Canis lupus familiaris: one gene and its partners. The protein of the gene in region 3 interacts with the protein of the main gene of each other region in a biochemical or structural test. Links are inferred from orthologs where the notes say so. Each region holds a gene or a part of one and is shown on either strand. Other genes may lie near its edges.

Region 1 (4,239 bases), on a different chromosome or scaffold from region 3:
CTTCAGCTGCATCTGAAATAGGGATGGGGGAACAAAAGGAAAACGAATCTACCTTCCCAAAGGTTTCCTACGTTTTAAGACCAGGCACTTGGGGAGCAAAGCCATGCATTTAACAACTATAATCAACTATTGATTTCTGGTTCTGTGTGACTCAGTCAAATACCCCACCAGCCAGAGGTGGCCGGGACTTCCTGATCCTTGCTTCCTGCCAGGAAGAGCCCCAAGGTCCAGACCCACACCAGGGACCCTGCAGAGTTGGCGAGGTAAGTTGGTGCAGACGCTGTGAGGACTGCCAGTGAGGTCCTGGCTGGGATGACAGAGGGCAGTTAAGTGCAGCAGCTGAACAGACAGTTCTGGTCAGGCAAGCACCCCACAAAGCCCCCCCTGCCTGCCTGCCTTTCTCTCCATCCCCAGCTGAAAGAATCTCCAGAGAGCATCACTCATGGGGGGCGGGTACAGCCGGAACAGGAGGCCCTGCCCAGAGACACAGTCTGGGCTCGCCCTGCTGGCTCCCAGGCAGAGCAGCGAGTGAGGCCTGAGAACGCCCTGGAACCCAGTGCAGCCCGACTCACAAGTCATGGAAGCTGCGCAGGGAGGAGGCTGGGGTGAAGACATCCAGGAGCCCGATGACCTGGGAGAGAAGGTTGCCAGTGAGGCTGGGCAGCGCCACAGCCCTCTCCCCCTGTCCCTTGCAGCCCCAGCTGCACCCACCACCACCCACCCTCTCTGAATAACCATCCCGGCAGGAGGTAGGTTCCCAGCCTTCTGGGGAGCAGAGAAAAGGGCAGAGGCAGAAGAGGAATCCCCTTAACTGGGAGGGAGCTCGCAGGGCACAGTGATGGAATGTCAGGCTGGGGAGAAGCGGAGGGGGCCATCCCTGTGTCTACCAGCCCCAAGTCTGGGGTTCAAGGCAGGCCTGCAAATTCACCCTCCACTCAAGCAGGAAACCACAAGTGGTGAAGGGAATCAAGGAGGGAACAAGGCCTGGTTCGGAGCCAGGGGCAATGTCACCCTGGTGGGGGGTGGGGGGCTATGGGGAGGGGTTTGCTGAAGAGGGACAGGGCTTCCTACTTGCCTACCGTATTTTGGAATCATTATTTTACCAATCTACGTATCCTGGAGCAAAGCCCAGTTGTTAGGCCCAGCGCTGGGTCGCTAGACTTCCCAGGGGTTTCTAACAGACAGGATCTCCAGTGGTTATGCACTAAGGCCTGGTGCCAGGCTGCCTAGGTTCACATCTCAGCTCTGACACTGACTAACCATATAACCCATTAGTCTTTCTGTGCCTCAGTTTCCCCTCCTGTACATGGAAGTAATAGTACTCCACTCCCGTGATATTGTGAGGATTCACAAGTTAGTCTACGCAAAGCTCCGAGGACAGCACTTGGCACATAGAGGGCTCAAGGAACCCTGGTTGTCGTTGGCAGAGCCACGTGTGGAAGCCACAGTAACCAGGATGCTGGGCACCCTAGCTCTGAGAGCTAGAACGAACTACGAGGTTCCTCCGTGTGCATTTCCTCGTAATGTGAAACAGTAAGTTTGCACCTCACAAAGTTCATTTTGCTCCACTGCCAAAAACACACTTTGCACCCTTCCTGGAAGTAGGCAGGGCAGGTCCTGGCACCTCATTTTAATGAAGTGAGGAACAGTGGTGGGAGGGGCAGGGAGGAGATTCCCCTTCCCCTGTTCCCCTCCTGAGCCATCTGTACTCTCACGGCCTTCTTGCCATCTCCCCTACACTCAAAAGTGGGGGAGGAAGGGTGCACCTAGTCAGGATGCTTGGGGGCCCCGCCCCCACCCGCCGGTCCCCCAGGCCCAGCCTACGTTTTCATGCTGCATGTGCTTCAGCAGCTGCAGCTCTCGGTAGGCACGTTTGGCAAAGATCTCAGACTGGAAGGGCCGGCTCAGCTTCTTGATGGCCACCTTCTCCCCTGACCGCTTGTCGATGGCACAGCTGCAGGGCACGGGCAGAGGTCCGGGGGGCTGTGGCTTTCTTTCCACGCCAGCAGCCCCCACACCACAACCCGGATGGCATCCCCCAGGCCACTGCGGGGAGCCCAGGCCATCCTCACCGAAACCCCTCCCGGGCAGCAGGCTGGGCTGCGCAGAAGGCAGCCCACGAGCCGCAAGGTGAGGGAGCAGCCCCCAGTGCCCTCAGGGGCGGCAGTGACCGAGGGGTGCATGAACCGGATCCAGAGCCCGGAGGGGGGCTCACTCTTTGCACCTTGGCAAGTCGCACTTCTCCCTCTTTGGGTCTCGGTGTACCCACCTGTAACCCGGATGAACTCTGGGGTCCCTTGTGGGATTCAAGCGCTGGGGACCCAGACCCCCAGTCCTAATTGAGCCCCCAGAGACCCCACAAAGCCGGTGGGAACAGTGAGGTGGCGCCCGGTCTGCCCCAGCCTGAGGCCTGCGGCCTCCTCCCAGCTCCAAGCGCCGCAGGACCAGCCCCGCAGGACCCTGGGCCGCCCCCCCCCCCCCGGAGGTGGCGCGCGCGGCCCCGAGCGCCCAGCAGGGGCGGGGGGCGCCCCGAGGCGGGTCGGGGAAGGGGGGCGCCGGCCCGGCTGGTCGGGAGGCTCCGCCCGCCCCGCGCCCCGCGCCCCGCGCCCCGGGGTCTCACCACACGGCGCCGTAGGCCCCGCTGCCCACGTGCGTCGGCGACACGTAGGTCTTGGGCAGCTCCCAGGCGGTCTTGTTGACGTCCTGCCTGTAGAAGCCCTTTTTCCGGGTGAAGCTCATCCCGGGCGCCCGACGTCGGCGGCCCCAGCGCGGCGCCTGCGATCGCCGCCCGCCGGCTCCCTGCACCGGGGCCGCCCGCCGCCCGCTCCTCCCCCGCGCGAGGGCGGGGCCCGGGCTCGGCGCGTCCCACCTGCCGGCTCGCCCAGGTGCGCGGGGCGCGGCCACGCCGGACCTGCCCACGGCCCCCGCGCGGGGCCCCGCCGCAGCCCGGCCGGCAGGTGAGCAGGCGGCGGGAGCGGGTGCTGGGGAGGCCCGGGGGGCTCCCGGGGGCGGAGGCGGGGGGACAGGGCTCCCGGGGCCCCCGGCCCGAGACTGGGGAGGGGGGATCTTGCGCGGGGTTGGGGGTGGAGCTGGTGGAGACGATTCTGGAGAAACAAAACCCCACAACTTTTGATTACGGCAAGTTTCGAAAAGGTACGAAAGTAGACAGACGAGACCGGTGAGTCCCACGTTTGAACGTGCCCTGAATCCCCTGGGACTTGTGTTTGCTTAGAAAGACTGGGGGGATCCCTGGGTGGCTGCGGGATCCCGGATCCAGTCCCACGTCGGGCTCCCTGCATGGAGCCTGCTTCTGCCTCTGCCTGTGTCTGCCTCTCTTTGTGTCTCTCTTGAATAAATAAGTAAAATCTTAAAAAAAAAAAAAAAAAAAGAATGCACACTCTGGCCCAGTTGATCTGGGGCGGAGCCAAGATTGTGCATTTCGAACCCGCTCCGCTCAGAGACTCTCGGGACCTCACTTTCTGGCGATCGTGACCCCAGCCCCGCAGCTTCAACAGTTATATCAACCCTTAGCTGATGTTTTGTTTTGTTTTAATTTATTTCTTTCTTCATGAGAGACACACAGAGAGAGGCAGAGACAGGCAGAGGGAGAAGCAGGCTCCCTGCAGGGAGCCCGACGCGGGACTCCATCTCGGACCTCGGGATCACATCCCAAGCCTAAGGCAGACGCTCACCCGCTGAGCCACCCAGGCGTCCCTACTCTCAGCCAGTTTTGTTTCCATCATTTTGAAGCAACACCAGGTATCATATAATTTCATCCATAAATATTTTTTGTGTCTCTAAAGGCTAAGGACTGCTTTTAAGACATAACCACAATGTCATTTTTACATCTAAAATTACCAACAGTGATTCTATAGCACCAACTTTCCAGTCCAGGCCCAAATTTCCAATTTTGAACGTTTTTTTTTGCTGGCATCCTAATGCCCCATGAGGGCAATGACGGGCCAGGGCCTTCTGCCACCTGTGTCTGGTGGCTGATTCTGTGCTCATACAGGGAAGGGGTCGTGGAAGGGGTGGGGACCACTCGCTTCACTTAATCAAAGGGAGAGAAGAGATCTTGAAGAAGGCAAGGAACTTGCTTGTGGCCCAAGCCCTGGGCCGTGGTCACTCCCAGCGTCGTTCAGCATCAGGCACAGTCTGGAGACCACTGCAGGACGGGGACGGTGCGGGGATCCCACAGAAATGCCCAGCAGGCATCACATTCCAGGACCCTGCCTTATT
Region 2 (3,690 bases), on a different chromosome or scaffold from region 3:
GGAGTAGTAAATATCTTCAAGTACCTCAAAACTAGGAGTGAAATCAAAGTGGCTCATCCTGTTCACAAAACTATAAGCACATAGGCACCATTAAGGATTCTAAGTAAGACAAGGAAAGACCCCTCGGTGGATCCTCCTGGCCACACCTTGTGAGAAAAACACTTATACCAATACTCGGGAATATCTGATTAGTATACTTGCATATTTTTGAAAACTTGAGATTCAGAAATTTGCAGGACATTTTTAGCAACAGACGAAAAAGAAACGTTTTGCCTTTTGATTAAAAATATTTGCTAATATTGGAAGGAAATGACGACACTCCAACATCCACCCGTGTTCACGTTAAGTCTGTAATCAGAGATGGTGATGTAGAAATATAGCCAAGTGTCACTTAGAAACACACAAGAACTGGACATGCTATATACTTCTCTTTTAAAATGTATCTGTATTATTTTCACTAATCAAAACACACATAATATATTTTATTATAAAACATTAGGCAATGTTACTTTTGAGATCTGCAATCTGAAGGTCACACCTGTATTTACTACCAGCATGAAACACCAGAGGAGGACATTAGAAATCAACCAGACAGACTCATACATGGTCACCATGACTTACACAGTATTGAATCTGGATTAAACTGCTGGATTATCCCATCCAGAGGTTCAACCAGGGACTCTGGGTGTCAGCAGGGGGCCCTGCCAAGGGTTTTCTCCTTCCAGCATGGAGGCTCTGAGTTTCATGTCCCCAAGAGAAGAACAGAGCCCCACTTCCATTTCTGCGACCACGACTGATCAGCACTGAGCAGTCCGTGTTTCCACAATGTTCTCCTGCTCTGATAGACCCTCTCTGCTCTCTGAAACCTGCACCTGAGGTCAAGACCTGACATAGGGGAGGCAGTCGTTTCCTTTTTGACTGAAAACTAAGCCAACAAATAAAATAAACCTAGTCCCAATTCCAGGCTAATAATAAATTACCTGGTTTATAAAAATATGTGTCCAAAATAGTTACTTCCAGGGTTGTGTACAATATAAATTACAAAAATAAAATAGAAAAGATGAAAAAGTTGAGCACGTTTTAGTTCTTTTCCCAACATCAGCATTCATCCATAGACAGCAGTTTGAAACTGTCTGCAATGCACCAGGACCCTGGCACATTTTGGCTCAGGACGGAGGACCATGATGGGGGCTGAGGTATTTCTATGGGAGCTCTGCTCTCTGCGGCCAGTGGCCTGTCCCACCCTGGTGCACTCCTGCTGTCTGATGGGTGGTGGGCATGGCAGGAAGCCCACCCACGCCCAGACAAGCTCCATCCAAGAATATGCAGGAGGAATGATAACTGAGTAAAAAGCCAGTCTGCAGAGGCACCCAAGCTCCTCTCAGGATCCAGACCTTGGATGGATACAGGAGCTTCACAAGCCCTCAGCATCCCCAGGCCGCGTTCACAGAAGCCAAGGGCAGTTCATACATTTAAAAAATTCTCCTCTCTCTTTTTCTATTTAAAGATAGATTTAGTGAAGTCTTTTTAAAGAATATGTATTAGAGAAAAGGCCATTTTAAGATGTTTATATATAGATAATGATAACTTTCTTCACTATACCATCAGGCCTCCAAAGCCAAAACCATCCTGAGCCATATCATAATAGGTATTTCTCCTTTAATCCAAGTCAGAATTTCCATCTTGTACCTGAATGTGTCTAAACCTCACAATATAAAACTATTACCTTCAATAATAATTTTGTTCATCAAGGGTTCCAGTTTCCAGTGATCAGACCCACCAATAAGATACAACTGGTGCGAGAGAATCATATCTTTTTGATAATATTTATAATAAAATTTCTTATCAAAGTTCCTCCTCAGAACACATTCCTATAGAATGCTGACCCAATAGCTTCCAAAAACAGTAAAACACAAGATATGAATTTTTAACAGAATAAGCTCATGGGGCAAGCATTAGGAGCACAGGTAACCAAAAAAATGTGATCATTGTAACTCCATTTCTGCAGTGACACTTCAGTACTCAGTAGCTTAGTGAACTCTGAATAATTTCCACATCAGAAAGTCTGAAAGCATCAATTTCAGGTGAGCAGTTTTAAATCAGAAAGTACTCAATGGTTAATCACCACTCTTGAGGGCACTTCCTCCAAAAAAACCCCATGAGGAGGTTTCCCAGAAAATTCATGGGTTTCCCTTAGGAAAAGGGGATGCTCCACGAAGTGGAAAAAACCACCACCACCACCACACAGGCGTTTGGAATCACTTCGCTTCCTCGAACAGATCCAAGTGTGGGGAGGTTGGGGGTGGATGGATGGGGTTATGTGGCTTCTTTCAGCAAAGAAAGAAAAGCCAAATAAGAACATTAGGTTGGAAATTGGAAACGCTGTCCTGGGAGATGGTGCACCTCCCCAGGAATGAGGGAATGACCCTGACCAGGCTTGGGGAAAGCAAGCGCTCAGGAAGTCACCGCAGTCAGCTTCAGTGACCGTCTTGTCAAATTCTACTCTCACCGCTAATGGACTTGAGAATCTGCCATTGTGTTGTTGACATGAAGTGTTAGGTGCCTGATCAAGAAGGCGAAGTTTTAGGTGGGATTTTAAATTAATAAGTCCAGAAGACCAGGAAAAATGAGTGAGGGTAGATTAGGATTTTAAAGGTATATCTGTCTTAGGCAGCACAAAACTTAAAATTTTATCATGCAATAAAGATGAATGTACACTCATCCCAAATTCAGACAATTTAGAGGAAACAAAGTGTCCATATAAATGTCTAGATTTCAGCAGTGATAATTCTCAGCCCAAAACATGAAAATTTAAAAAAAAGTTGTATTTTTTTATTAAATAGATTTAATTATATTCCTTCTGAAATACAAAAGATAGAATAAATTGTATCATAAAAGGTAAGACGTGATAATATGATGGTGGCCAATTAACACATAAATCTATTTTTTCTGGACAGACACCAAATTACTTGAGAGGATTAAGAGATCATTCTAGAAGCAGCACTACCTGGAAGATTATTTGGCATTTAAATACTGATTTCCAAAGTGCTAGATGGCAAGTCTGAGCAAGCACATGTGGTCACATGCATGTAAGTCCCAACAGTTATGAGGATGAGAAATTGTCACTATGACCGCACAACTTAAAAAAAAAATTGTCTATTCTAATTGCTCACCTGAAATGACCTTGAACAAAATCTCTAAGAGTGTGGCTTGCACGTGTTTTCTCCAGACATAATCTGCTTCGTTGTAGAATCTAGGCAGGCAATCCTATTAGAACTGAGTAGGGGCAAGGCATCGTGTTTCTTACATGCAGAACATGGAGTTTTCTGTTTGGTTCCATCAACCCCCAAGCATTTCAGGCCCATGGAAGCGAGAGCTCCTTCACTGTTGACGAGCTTGTTACTTGTGACTTATCATCGGCAGCCTTCGAGGGGTCCCGTCGAGGCATCAAGGCTGCTGTCTGTGTCTGAGGCCAGCGTCTGCTCCGTGGACATGGATGAGATGTCGTTGATGGATGATGACCGGGAAGGAGTGGCATTGCTACTTACTGCTGCATCTGTGCTAAGAAAACCAAATATAATAAAATCTGAGGCACGACACTGCTGCAGGTTCGGGCAGTGAGACATGAGGCCTTTCTCAGCTCCATGCTTCTGTGGCCCCCCAGCCTAACTGCTCGTACTAACAACCCAT
Region 3 (4,341 bases):
GTTGGCAAATCGAATTCCAATAAAAAAATATACCAAAAAAAAGGGGGGGGGGATTGTATTATTTGCTCAAAATGACACAGATAAGATCGACACATTTGATCTAATATAATCTAACAATTTATCAGCAGAGAACATCTAAATCATTAAAACCCAACTTTTTCAAAATACAACAATTTAGGTAGGAAAAAATGTAATTATTTCTTGAGACTTAATGCTAGTTATAGGTAGTAGACATTTGATGTGTAGCATTTTTTTTTTAAAGATTTTATTTGAGAGCGAGGAGAGAGCAAGCACTAACAAGAGGGAGAGGAAGAAGCAGGCTCCCTGCTGAGCAAGGAGTGGGGCGGGGGGTCATCCCAGAACCTTGGGATCATGACTCCAAGCGAAGGCAGACACCTAACCAACTGAGCCACCCAGATGCCCCTAGCATAACATTTTTAAAAATGATATTCAGATAGCTTTTAAATCCTGAATACCAAGAAAAAGCATCCCTCCAAATTATGTTAAAGAGCTGACATAATAATCTTAATTTGTACTGTTTAAAAATATGAAACAAATACTCCAAGTAAAGAAAATACAGGAATTTCTGGATTACATATTTAATACATTATGATATAGTGCCCCAAGGATGAAATATACATTCTTATAAGGTTAAAAAGAATTTCCAAGAAATGCAATGAGATCTACAGAAGACACATGTACCTTAAAAACACACACACACAGTTCCTGAAAGCTCCTTCCTTATTGACAAATACAAACATCTATGTTCTAAATTACCACAATATATTTCAAATAATTAAAAATCTAATGGCCGTAATCCTCTCGAAGCAAGATAAAACAGGTCTTCGGAAAGCAGCATACAAACAACCATAAATTTGTAAGATTCTTATAAATTACAAAGACCAAGATTTTTGGGATGCCCGGGTGGCCCAGCGGTTGAGCATCTGCCTTCCGGCTCAGGTGCGTGACCCCGGGGTCCTGGGATGGAGTCCCAAATGGGGCTCCCTGCATGGAGCCTGCTTCTCCCTCTGCCTCTGTCTCTGCCTCCCTCTCTCTCTCATTAATAAATCTTTCTTTTTTTAATAAATAAAATCTTAAAAAAAAAAAGACCAAGATTTTTAATTGTTACTCAATTACTGATGACCTTAAAGATTCAAGAACATCCTTAACTAATTCTTTATCTGTAAGAGGGCATCTCTTTTTTTTTTTTTTTTAAACATCCTTTACAAAGATACTCTTGCAGTTCTGCGAAGTGTTTACAGCGGATTCCTCAAATCAGTGTAACAAATGTAATCACAAGATGGAATTGCTACTGTGTTTGCCTTTCAGGTCACTTAACCTGTAGGGCTGACTTTTGAACAAGCTTATTACCTTCAAGTTCTGGTACAACGGACCAAGGTTACACGGCTATTTAAAAACGACGCCTAGAAAGGCTATTACTTACTGACAGTGCCAGTGGTTTCTTCACACAGGACACAAAGTGCACTCAGAGAGGTACAGGTTTGTCTGGACATCAAGTGTGTACATTAAAGTCAACGCACGGTTACCGTCTCCATAATTTAAAACCCCCAAGAAATGAGGACTTTCACATTATGATTTAACTATCAGTCAACAGGGCGAAGGTCGTCCATCAGGTGTAATCCCTTTACTCTACCATATTGACGGTAGTTTTGCGCTTGGCCTCAACCAGTTTTCAACTCCCCCCCCCCCCCGCCCCCGCCCCCCAAGCGAAAGCAATTTCAGACTATCTAAGGACACAAATGATCCCCAGCTCCTCCGCCTTCTCCTTCCTCTAGCGTCGGTTCAACGAGCTAACACAAAAAATACAGACACACACAGTCACTCCCTCGGCCCTGGTCCCTAGGGCATTAAAAAAAAAAAAAAAAAAGGCACAGGTTATTTACCCTACAGAGGCTCTGCAGTCCGTGCGGGGAGGTTTAAAAAAAAAAAAAAAAAGAAAAGAAAGAAAATGGGGGAAAATACCAGAATCAATCTGCACCCACACCTCAGCCCCGCCCCACAGGGAAAAAGCGGGGGGTGGCGGGAGTGTGAGGGGGCAGAAAGGACAGAACCGGCGGGGACTTCCAGCTCCCGGGCTGCCCAGGCCGTCGGCGCGGCCGCAGGCGGGGACCCCGACCCCCCTCCCCGCCAGCATCACCCACACAGTCCCCGCACCCCCGAGTCCTGGGCGGGGAGACCCGAGCCGGCCCTCTCCCTGCAGATCCAAGGGCTGAAGGCGGGGGTCTCCCTGCGCCCCCGGGGGTGCGGCGTGGGGGCGCCCGGACACCTCCGACCTAACCGGGGAAGGGGAAGGCGAACCGGGGGGGAGGGGTCTAAGAGGCGCCGTTATTCCTTTTTCCTCCTCGTTAGGAAAGCGCGCGAGCGGGGAGGGGCCGGAACGACGAACGCCAGTTCCCTATAACGGGCCCGCCGGGCCGGCCGGGCTCCCCGCCGCCGACGCCGCGCCTGCCGCGCAGCTGGCGGGACGGCCTGGGTCGCCCCGAGGGCCGGGCACCGAGGCAGGAGCGCCCGAGGCGATGGGAAGCGGGGGGTGGGGACTACGCGGAGCGACGTCGCCATGTTAGCGCCTTCTCTCTCCCTCTCCCTCCAGCCGCAGCCCTGCGGCCTTCCGCCCGCGCTACTCACCTTCCCAGGTCGCTAGTTCATGCTTCTCGCTGCCGCCCGGGAGGCCCGAGCTCAGCCGTGTTTACAAACTACCCCTGGAGGAAAGGGCTGAACCGCACTTTAAAGGCCACGGGCTCCCACAGGCTTCCGTCCTCTCTCGCGAGATCCGACTGACACCCCTTTCTCCCCGCCCCGCTCCCGGCATCCCCCCTTTCTTCTCGCGCCCCTCCCCTCCGCGCACACGCCCCTTCTTGCCTTCCTTTCGACCGAGCGCCTCCGGGTCAGGTGATGCCGTCAGCCTTCAGCGGCAGGGGGCGGGACCTGAGGAGGGAGGGGCTGGAGGGGGCGGGAACCAAAGGCCACTCAGTCGCAGACGATTGGTCAAGGAGCCCAGAGGGCGGGAAGCGGTTCCGGAAGGGGGCGGGGCCGAAGGAGCCGGAGGGGAGGAGCCTCCGTCACCTGCGGAAGGCTGTGATTGGCTGGGGCTGGAGACTGGCGGGGCTGTGGATGCGGGAACAGGTGGATGTCGGGGTGGCCCAAGGGCTTGACGGTGCGCGCCGAGGACGAGGGGACCTGCGGAAGAGGCTGCGAGTGGCGGGAGGGGAGGCGCGAGGAGGCCTCCGAGCTCCGTCACGGGAGCCCAGTATTTCTGCTGCCGTCCCTTCCGGGCCCTGGGTAGGAAGGAGGGCAAAACGTTAGGCGGGCGCGCGCCTGGACCCACTTTTCTGCTGCCCTGAAATGTGAGACGGGGAGGTTCCGTGGAGCTGAGATTTGGGAGAGGCGGAGTTTGCAGCAAAATGCCCCTCCCCCTCAAGGCCTCCACACGCCTGAAGCGGGAAAGAGAAGTCAGCTTTTTTTTTTTTTTTTTTAAGATTTTATTTATTTATGTATAAGAGATGGAGAGAGAGGCAGAGACTCAGGCAGAGGGAGAAGCAGGCTCCATGCAGGGAGCCCGATGCGGGACTCGATCCTGGGTCTCCAGGATCACGCCCTGGGCTGAAGGCTCAACCGCTGAGCCACCCGGGAGTCCCAAGAGAAGTCAGTTTTGCAAAAAGAAAAGAAAAGAAAAAAAAAGTGTCAGTTTTGCAAAAAAAAAAAAAAGTCAGTTTTACAAAGAAATGAAAAAGCCTTTGGATGGCATTTGTTCAAATTTTACGAAGCTATCGCTGATATTGGTTGTTCCGGCTCCTGAACGCCTGGTACCCGGAAGGATATGAAATGCAGCGCCCCCCACTATATAACTGTAAGTTGAAACAGCTCAAGGAGTTGCTTGCAAGAGAAAATCTTCCTTAGGAAGGTGTATTCTATCAATTTCCCTTTACTTAGTAGTTACAGATTTTAAACGTATCACCTTTAATGCAGATAATTTCAAACTTTTAAAACATCAACTCCTTAGTAACCTTTACTGGGGACCGAAGAACACCAAATTAGAATATGGACTAGAAATGGCTCTCTTCTCATAATACTAGCCAGTGCTCACTAGGTTGCTACGATGACAAAGAAATGTCTGTCAAGCTTTGAAAGTAGCTGTTTAAAAAAGAGTTAGAGAAGGGAGACCATTTGATTAATTTAACTTGAGGGACAAAAGATACCATATTTTCTGTTCTGCAGTCGACACAGATACACTCATGAAAACACAAAGAATAGTACTGAAAATATTTTTTAATGTTGCTCTATGATTCTTTATATAACTTAAATATTTCGACGTCAAGTGTG
Region 4 (4,439 bases), on a different chromosome or scaffold from region 3:
GGCGCCCATCAGGGTGGTCACCAGGTACCTGGGAGGGGTCAGGGGTCAGCAGGCAGCCCCCACAATGCGCTCCCGAGCCCCGCATCAGCTGCCACTCACACTTCGCTGAAGTCCTCAATGGAGGTGGCCGGCGTGAACACGTCCAGCAGCCCGATGACCTGCGTGGGGACGGGCGTCAGGACTCGGCGAGGCGCCCTGGGGCTGTGTGCCCCGTGTGTGCCCCACCCCCACCCCGCTGACCTGCCCCGGCGCTCCAGGCTCACATTCTCATGCTTCAGATGCTTGAGCAGGCGCAGCTCGCGGTAAGTTCTCCGTGCGTGGATCAGCGACTGGAAGGGGCGCGACAGTTTCTTCACCGCCACCTTCTGGCGCAGCCGTGTGTCGTAGGCCGAGCTGCAAGGTGGGTGAGTGAGGCGGCGGGGTGGGGGCTGGCCATGCACCCAGGGCCCCTGCCTTTTTCAGAGGGCCCCTCGGGTGCACCACTGTCCATGTGGCCAGCCCGAGTCCAGCACCTGGGGAGCCTCTCCTCTGTGCCTCGTTCCTCAAGGGGCACCCACTCTCCAGTCCCCCTTCCCACACACATCCCAGCCATCCCAGGTCCCTGCCTGCCCCGCCTGGGACCCATGGGGCAGGATCTGGATCTTCTCCCCACAATCCAGCATGAGGCTGGGGGACAAACTCCACCAACCAGGTCAGGAAAACAGACATTGTGAACCATCCCCTTTCACCCCAAACGGTCCTCCTGCTCCCCTATGGGCCCACCACTCGTGGAGGCCCCCCCGGGTTCCAGAGCTACCTCCAGAGCCCCTGGACCCCCCCCACCTCTGAATATTCAAAATATGGATAAAAAGCTAGCTGAAAACGTTTACTGCGTTATTATTTCTAAGAGTGAGAAACTGGACTATACGAAGCATTCAGCAGAGGGTGGTGTCTGGACCCACAAAACATTCCCCTAGGCCCGCCCCACCCCCCAAGTTCCAGAAGTTCCACTGCACACCAGCTTCCACACCCCTCCACTCTGCACTGGAAACATCGTCTCCACACGCAAACGGCCTGTCACCGCTGGGCCCTCCCAGAGTTGCCGGCCTGGCCCTGGGGCCGCACTAGGCGTCCTACCTTTACAGGGACCAGGTCCTCACTGCTGCTCAGCCCTTCCCTCCCTCTCCTTTACCTGCACCCTCTAGAATTGTGCTTCCCCCAGGAGTGCATGCTGTCTACATGGGGAGCGGCTCCTGCAGCACCTGAGGTGCTCACGGGGCCCGGGGCAGGGGTGCAGGAAACCCAGTAGGTGTCTCGGGCCTCCATGCCCCTTCCTCCAGGCTGTAGCTTTTGGGGGAAGGTCCACGTCCCTTCTGGGGACACAAGCAGGGGAGTGGCCCCTCACGTGGGGCAGCAGATCCTTTGCTCAACTGTGTGTGCAAACTGAGTGACAAAAATGGGCACTGGGTCACAGCTTCACAGAACACGGGAGCCCAGGCGAGGGCCATTGCCTGCACTGGAGCACCGGCGCGTGCGGGCAGTGGGGAGAGACCCAGGGCTCCCCCGGGGAGTGTGATGCTCCCTAGGGACCCAAGCGATTCCAGCAAGACTCTATATTCCCCAGAGGCCACCTATGCACTGTCCTGATCCTCTTGCCTTTGAGGTCCGTCTTAGGGATGAAGACAGGCCCGAGGCTGGAATGCATAGGACAGCCAGCCTGGGGCCTCCCACACGTCGGCCAGTGACAACAGATGGGGGGACAGCAGCCCTGCTCCAGGCCCCAGCACTGAGCCCCTGGAGGGGTCAGGAAGTCCCCCAGGAGCAATGCCCCATCCCTAGGGGCTCCGGCCTCCCCATGTCTAAGACCTCCCCAGCCATCTGGCTGAGGCCTTGGGAAGGACCCCACTGGTTTTGGGGAGCACCTCTCAACATCCACATCCACACTCAGCTGGTCAGTATTGCAACTGCACTCCGAGTTCCCGTAAGCACCTTACCCTAAACCCCTCAGTGCCTCCCTAACCCTACACAGGTCTCAGCCAAGTCCCTTCCTCGCTCCCACTTGCAGACTGTCCTCGGGGGCCCAGGGACCAGGTGCGGGCTGTAGCCTGAGGTCTCCTGGTTAGAGCAAAAATGGAGTGGGGTGTAGGCCGACCCCACAAGTATGGTAGGGGGAGACGGCAGGCATCTCTGCTGGGCCCTCGGAGGGGGACGGCAGGCATCTCTGCTGGGCCCTCGGCCCCATCCAGAGTCTGAGACCCTTGGGAAACGGGAGGGGCAGGACCGGCCCCGGAGTTGGAGGCCATTGCAAGGGGAGGGGTCCTACCCCCCCCCCCAAGTTGGGTTCTTTTCTTTTGCAAACAGAAGTACTGGCTGGTACCGCACCTGCCAGACCCCGGGGTGCCGGCCCTTGCCTGGGGGCGAGGCGCACTCTCACGCGTGTAGGGCCCGGGGAGCCGCCCTTCCGCCGACCGTGACGCCGCAGGACCGGGGCCTCGGGGCGCTGGGGGGGGACGACCCCTCCCCGCAGCCCCGGGCCGCGTCCGGGGAAAGTTTCCTTCCGCCCCCGCCCCCATCCTCCGCGGCGGCCGGGATGGCCCGGGGCGGGGGCGCGCGAGGCCCCTCCCCACGCCGCGCTGCCGGCCGAGGGAGGGAGGGAGGGAGGAGGGGAGGGGGGAGGGGGGAGGGGGCGCGCCCCGGTCCCGCCCGCGCCGCCGCGCCCTGCCCGCCGCCCCTACCAGACCGAGCCGTAGGCGCCGGAGCCCACCGGGCGCAGCCCCTGCAGCCGCCGCGGCACCTCCCACACCGTCTTGTTGAGCTCCTGCCGGTAGAAGCCTGCGCGCGGGCCCGACATGGCCGAAGCGGCCGCCGCCCGCCCGCCCCGCCCCTGCCCCCGCCCGCCCGCGCCCCCGCCGGAGCCCCAGCCCCAGCCCGAGCCCCAGCCCCAGCCCGAGCCGCAGCCCGAGCCGAGCGCACGGAGGGCGGCGGGAGGAGGCGGCGGCGCGGGGCGGGGCCGGGGAGCGCGGGGCCCGACGCGCGGCTTCCTGCCCCAGCCGGGCGGTGTCTGGGCGGACGGCTGCCCCCCGCCCCATCCGGGGCCCGCACCCCTAACCCCTGCGCCCCGCCCCCTCCCGGGCCCCGCACCCCGCACCCCCTCCCGCACCCCTCCCGGGCCCCGCACACTCCCCCCCCGCCCCGCACCCTTCCTCCCGCACCCCTCCCGGGCCCCGCACCCCCCCCCCGCCCCCTGCCGGGCCCCGCACCCCCAGCCTCCGGCTGCAGCGCGCGCTCGCCGGGGCACCGCCCTGCCCGCAGCCTCAGCTCCCCGCCCCCTCCCCTGCCGGCACCGCGGGTCCGCGCACCGGCCCCCCCCACCCCCCGCTCCGGGCCCTGCACGACACCCCTGCGCAGCTGCATAGGAAACGCCGCCCAAGGAACCCGAACACTTGGTGGGACGTGGCCGTGGGGCAGGCAGGTGGGTGGCCCGGCCCCCCCCCGCCGCCCCGCCCGCGCCGTGGCCCGTGTCCGGGGCCTCCAGTGGCTGCGCGGCGGCTCCCGCTCGGGGCTGGCCTGGGCACCGCCGGGGGCGAGGCGCTGCTGGTGCGGCCCGAGGACCAGCCCCTTCAGGACCAGGGACAGCGGCAGCGCCCGGCCACCTCTGAGGTGCTGTACCCACAAACAGCTGCCCCCAACCGGGCCCCTTCGGTTCCCAGCTCCTCTCCTCCTAACCCCCTTCCGCCGCCACCTCTTGCGAGAAGCCCACCCTGACTTTCCCATGTCCTGCGCGGCTCCTCCGGGGCATCACCGCAGCTCGTTCCCTGTGTCCCCTCGGCAGCGCTGCCCGTCCCTCACCCCGAAGGGCGGCCTCGCCTCTGTCCGGTGCTGGGCTCGCGCACCTCTCCTTCCCCCTCAAAGGTGACCAGCACTGCCGGGTGACAGGTGCCTTCGGACGCGCGATGAGGGCGGGGGCAGGGCTGGCACCTCCGGGGACATGGCAGCCACGCCCTCTTCCAAACAAACCAAACCCTGAGATTTTATGTGAAATCTGCTGGCTTTAAATACCAGCAGCCAAATTAAAGCAAAGCGTTGTCAGGGCAGCACCGGGCAAACGTCACTGCCCGGCGCATCGGGACTGCAGCGTGAGCCGAGCCCCGCCCGCGGCCAGCCTGGCAGGACCCCGGCCTCAGTTTCCCCTCTGGGACCCCGGTGTCCCCGCCCCGCGGGGCGGTGCCTGGGTTTTGTGCGGAGCCAGTGCAGCTTCAGCTGAAGGCGGGGAGGGGGCGGCCTTTGTTAGCGCTGGGGGTGCCCCCAGGTTCCCATGGCGACAGGGCCCTCCTCCCGGCCAGCGTCCTGCCCGGAGGACAGAGCTCCATGGGAGGGACCCCGGTGGGACCCCTGCTGGGCCTTCCCACAATGCCATCCCGGCCACTGGCTGCAGGAGGTGGCTGCGGCCAGGTGACAGG

What was found.
Region 1: of the proteins of ATF2 (region 3) and MAPK13, one has a biochemical effect on the other in vitro, tested with the Homo sapiens proteins (2 studies listed by BioGRID and IntAct). The link is inferred for Canis lupus familiaris from reciprocal best matches to the Homo sapiens genes ATF2 and MAPK13.
Region 2: of the proteins of ATF2 (region 3) and MAPK9, one has a biochemical effect on the other in vitro, tested with the Homo sapiens proteins (4 studies listed by BioGRID and IntAct, with this or other methods). The link is inferred for Canis lupus familiaris from reciprocal best matches to the Homo sapiens genes ATF2 and MAPK9.
Region 4: of the proteins of ATF2 (region 3) and MAPK11, one has a biochemical effect on the other in vitro, tested with the Homo sapiens proteins (4 studies listed by BioGRID and IntAct). The link is inferred for Canis lupus familiaris from reciprocal best matches to the Homo sapiens genes ATF2 and MAPK11.

The regions. Positions count from the first base shown.
Region 1 is NC_049233.1:5,419,942-5,424,180, reverse strand, and holds the start of MAPK13 (mitogen-activated protein kinase 13), read right to left. Parts: upstream 2,813-4,239; 5' UTR 2,740-2,812; coding exon 2,621-2,739; intron 1,955-2,620; coding exon 1,825-1,954; intron 632-1,824; coding exon 573-631; intron 1-572. UniProt on the Homo sapiens protein: Serine/threonine kinase which acts as an essential component of the MAP kinase signal transduction pathway.
Region 2 is NC_049232.1:1,739,760-1,743,449, reverse strand, and holds the end of MAPK9 (mitogen-activated protein kinase 9), read right to left. Parts: intron 3,562-3,690; coding exon of another isoform or gene 3,557-3,561; coding exon 3,414-3,556; 3' UTR 423-3,413; downstream 1-422. UniProt on the Homo sapiens protein: Serine/threonine-protein kinase involved in various processes such as cell proliferation, differentiation, migration, transformation and programmed cell death.
Region 3 is NC_049257.1:19,437,869-19,442,209, forward strand, and holds the start of ATF2 (cyclic AMP-dependent transcription factor ATF-2), read right to left. Parts: upstream 2,817-4,341; 5' UTR 2,647-2,816; intron 1-2,646. UniProt on the Homo sapiens protein: Transcriptional activator which regulates the transcription of various genes, including those involved in anti-apoptosis, cell growth, and DNA damage response.
Region 4 is NC_049231.1:17,883,622-17,888,060, reverse strand, and holds the start of MAPK11 (mitogen-activated protein kinase 11), read right to left. Parts: upstream 2,848-4,439; 5' UTR 2,831-2,847; coding exon 2,715-2,830; intron 394-2,714; coding exon 264-393; intron 159-263; coding exon 100-158; intron 29-99; coding exon 1-28. UniProt on the Homo sapiens protein: Serine/threonine kinase which acts as an essential component of the MAP kinase signal transduction pathway.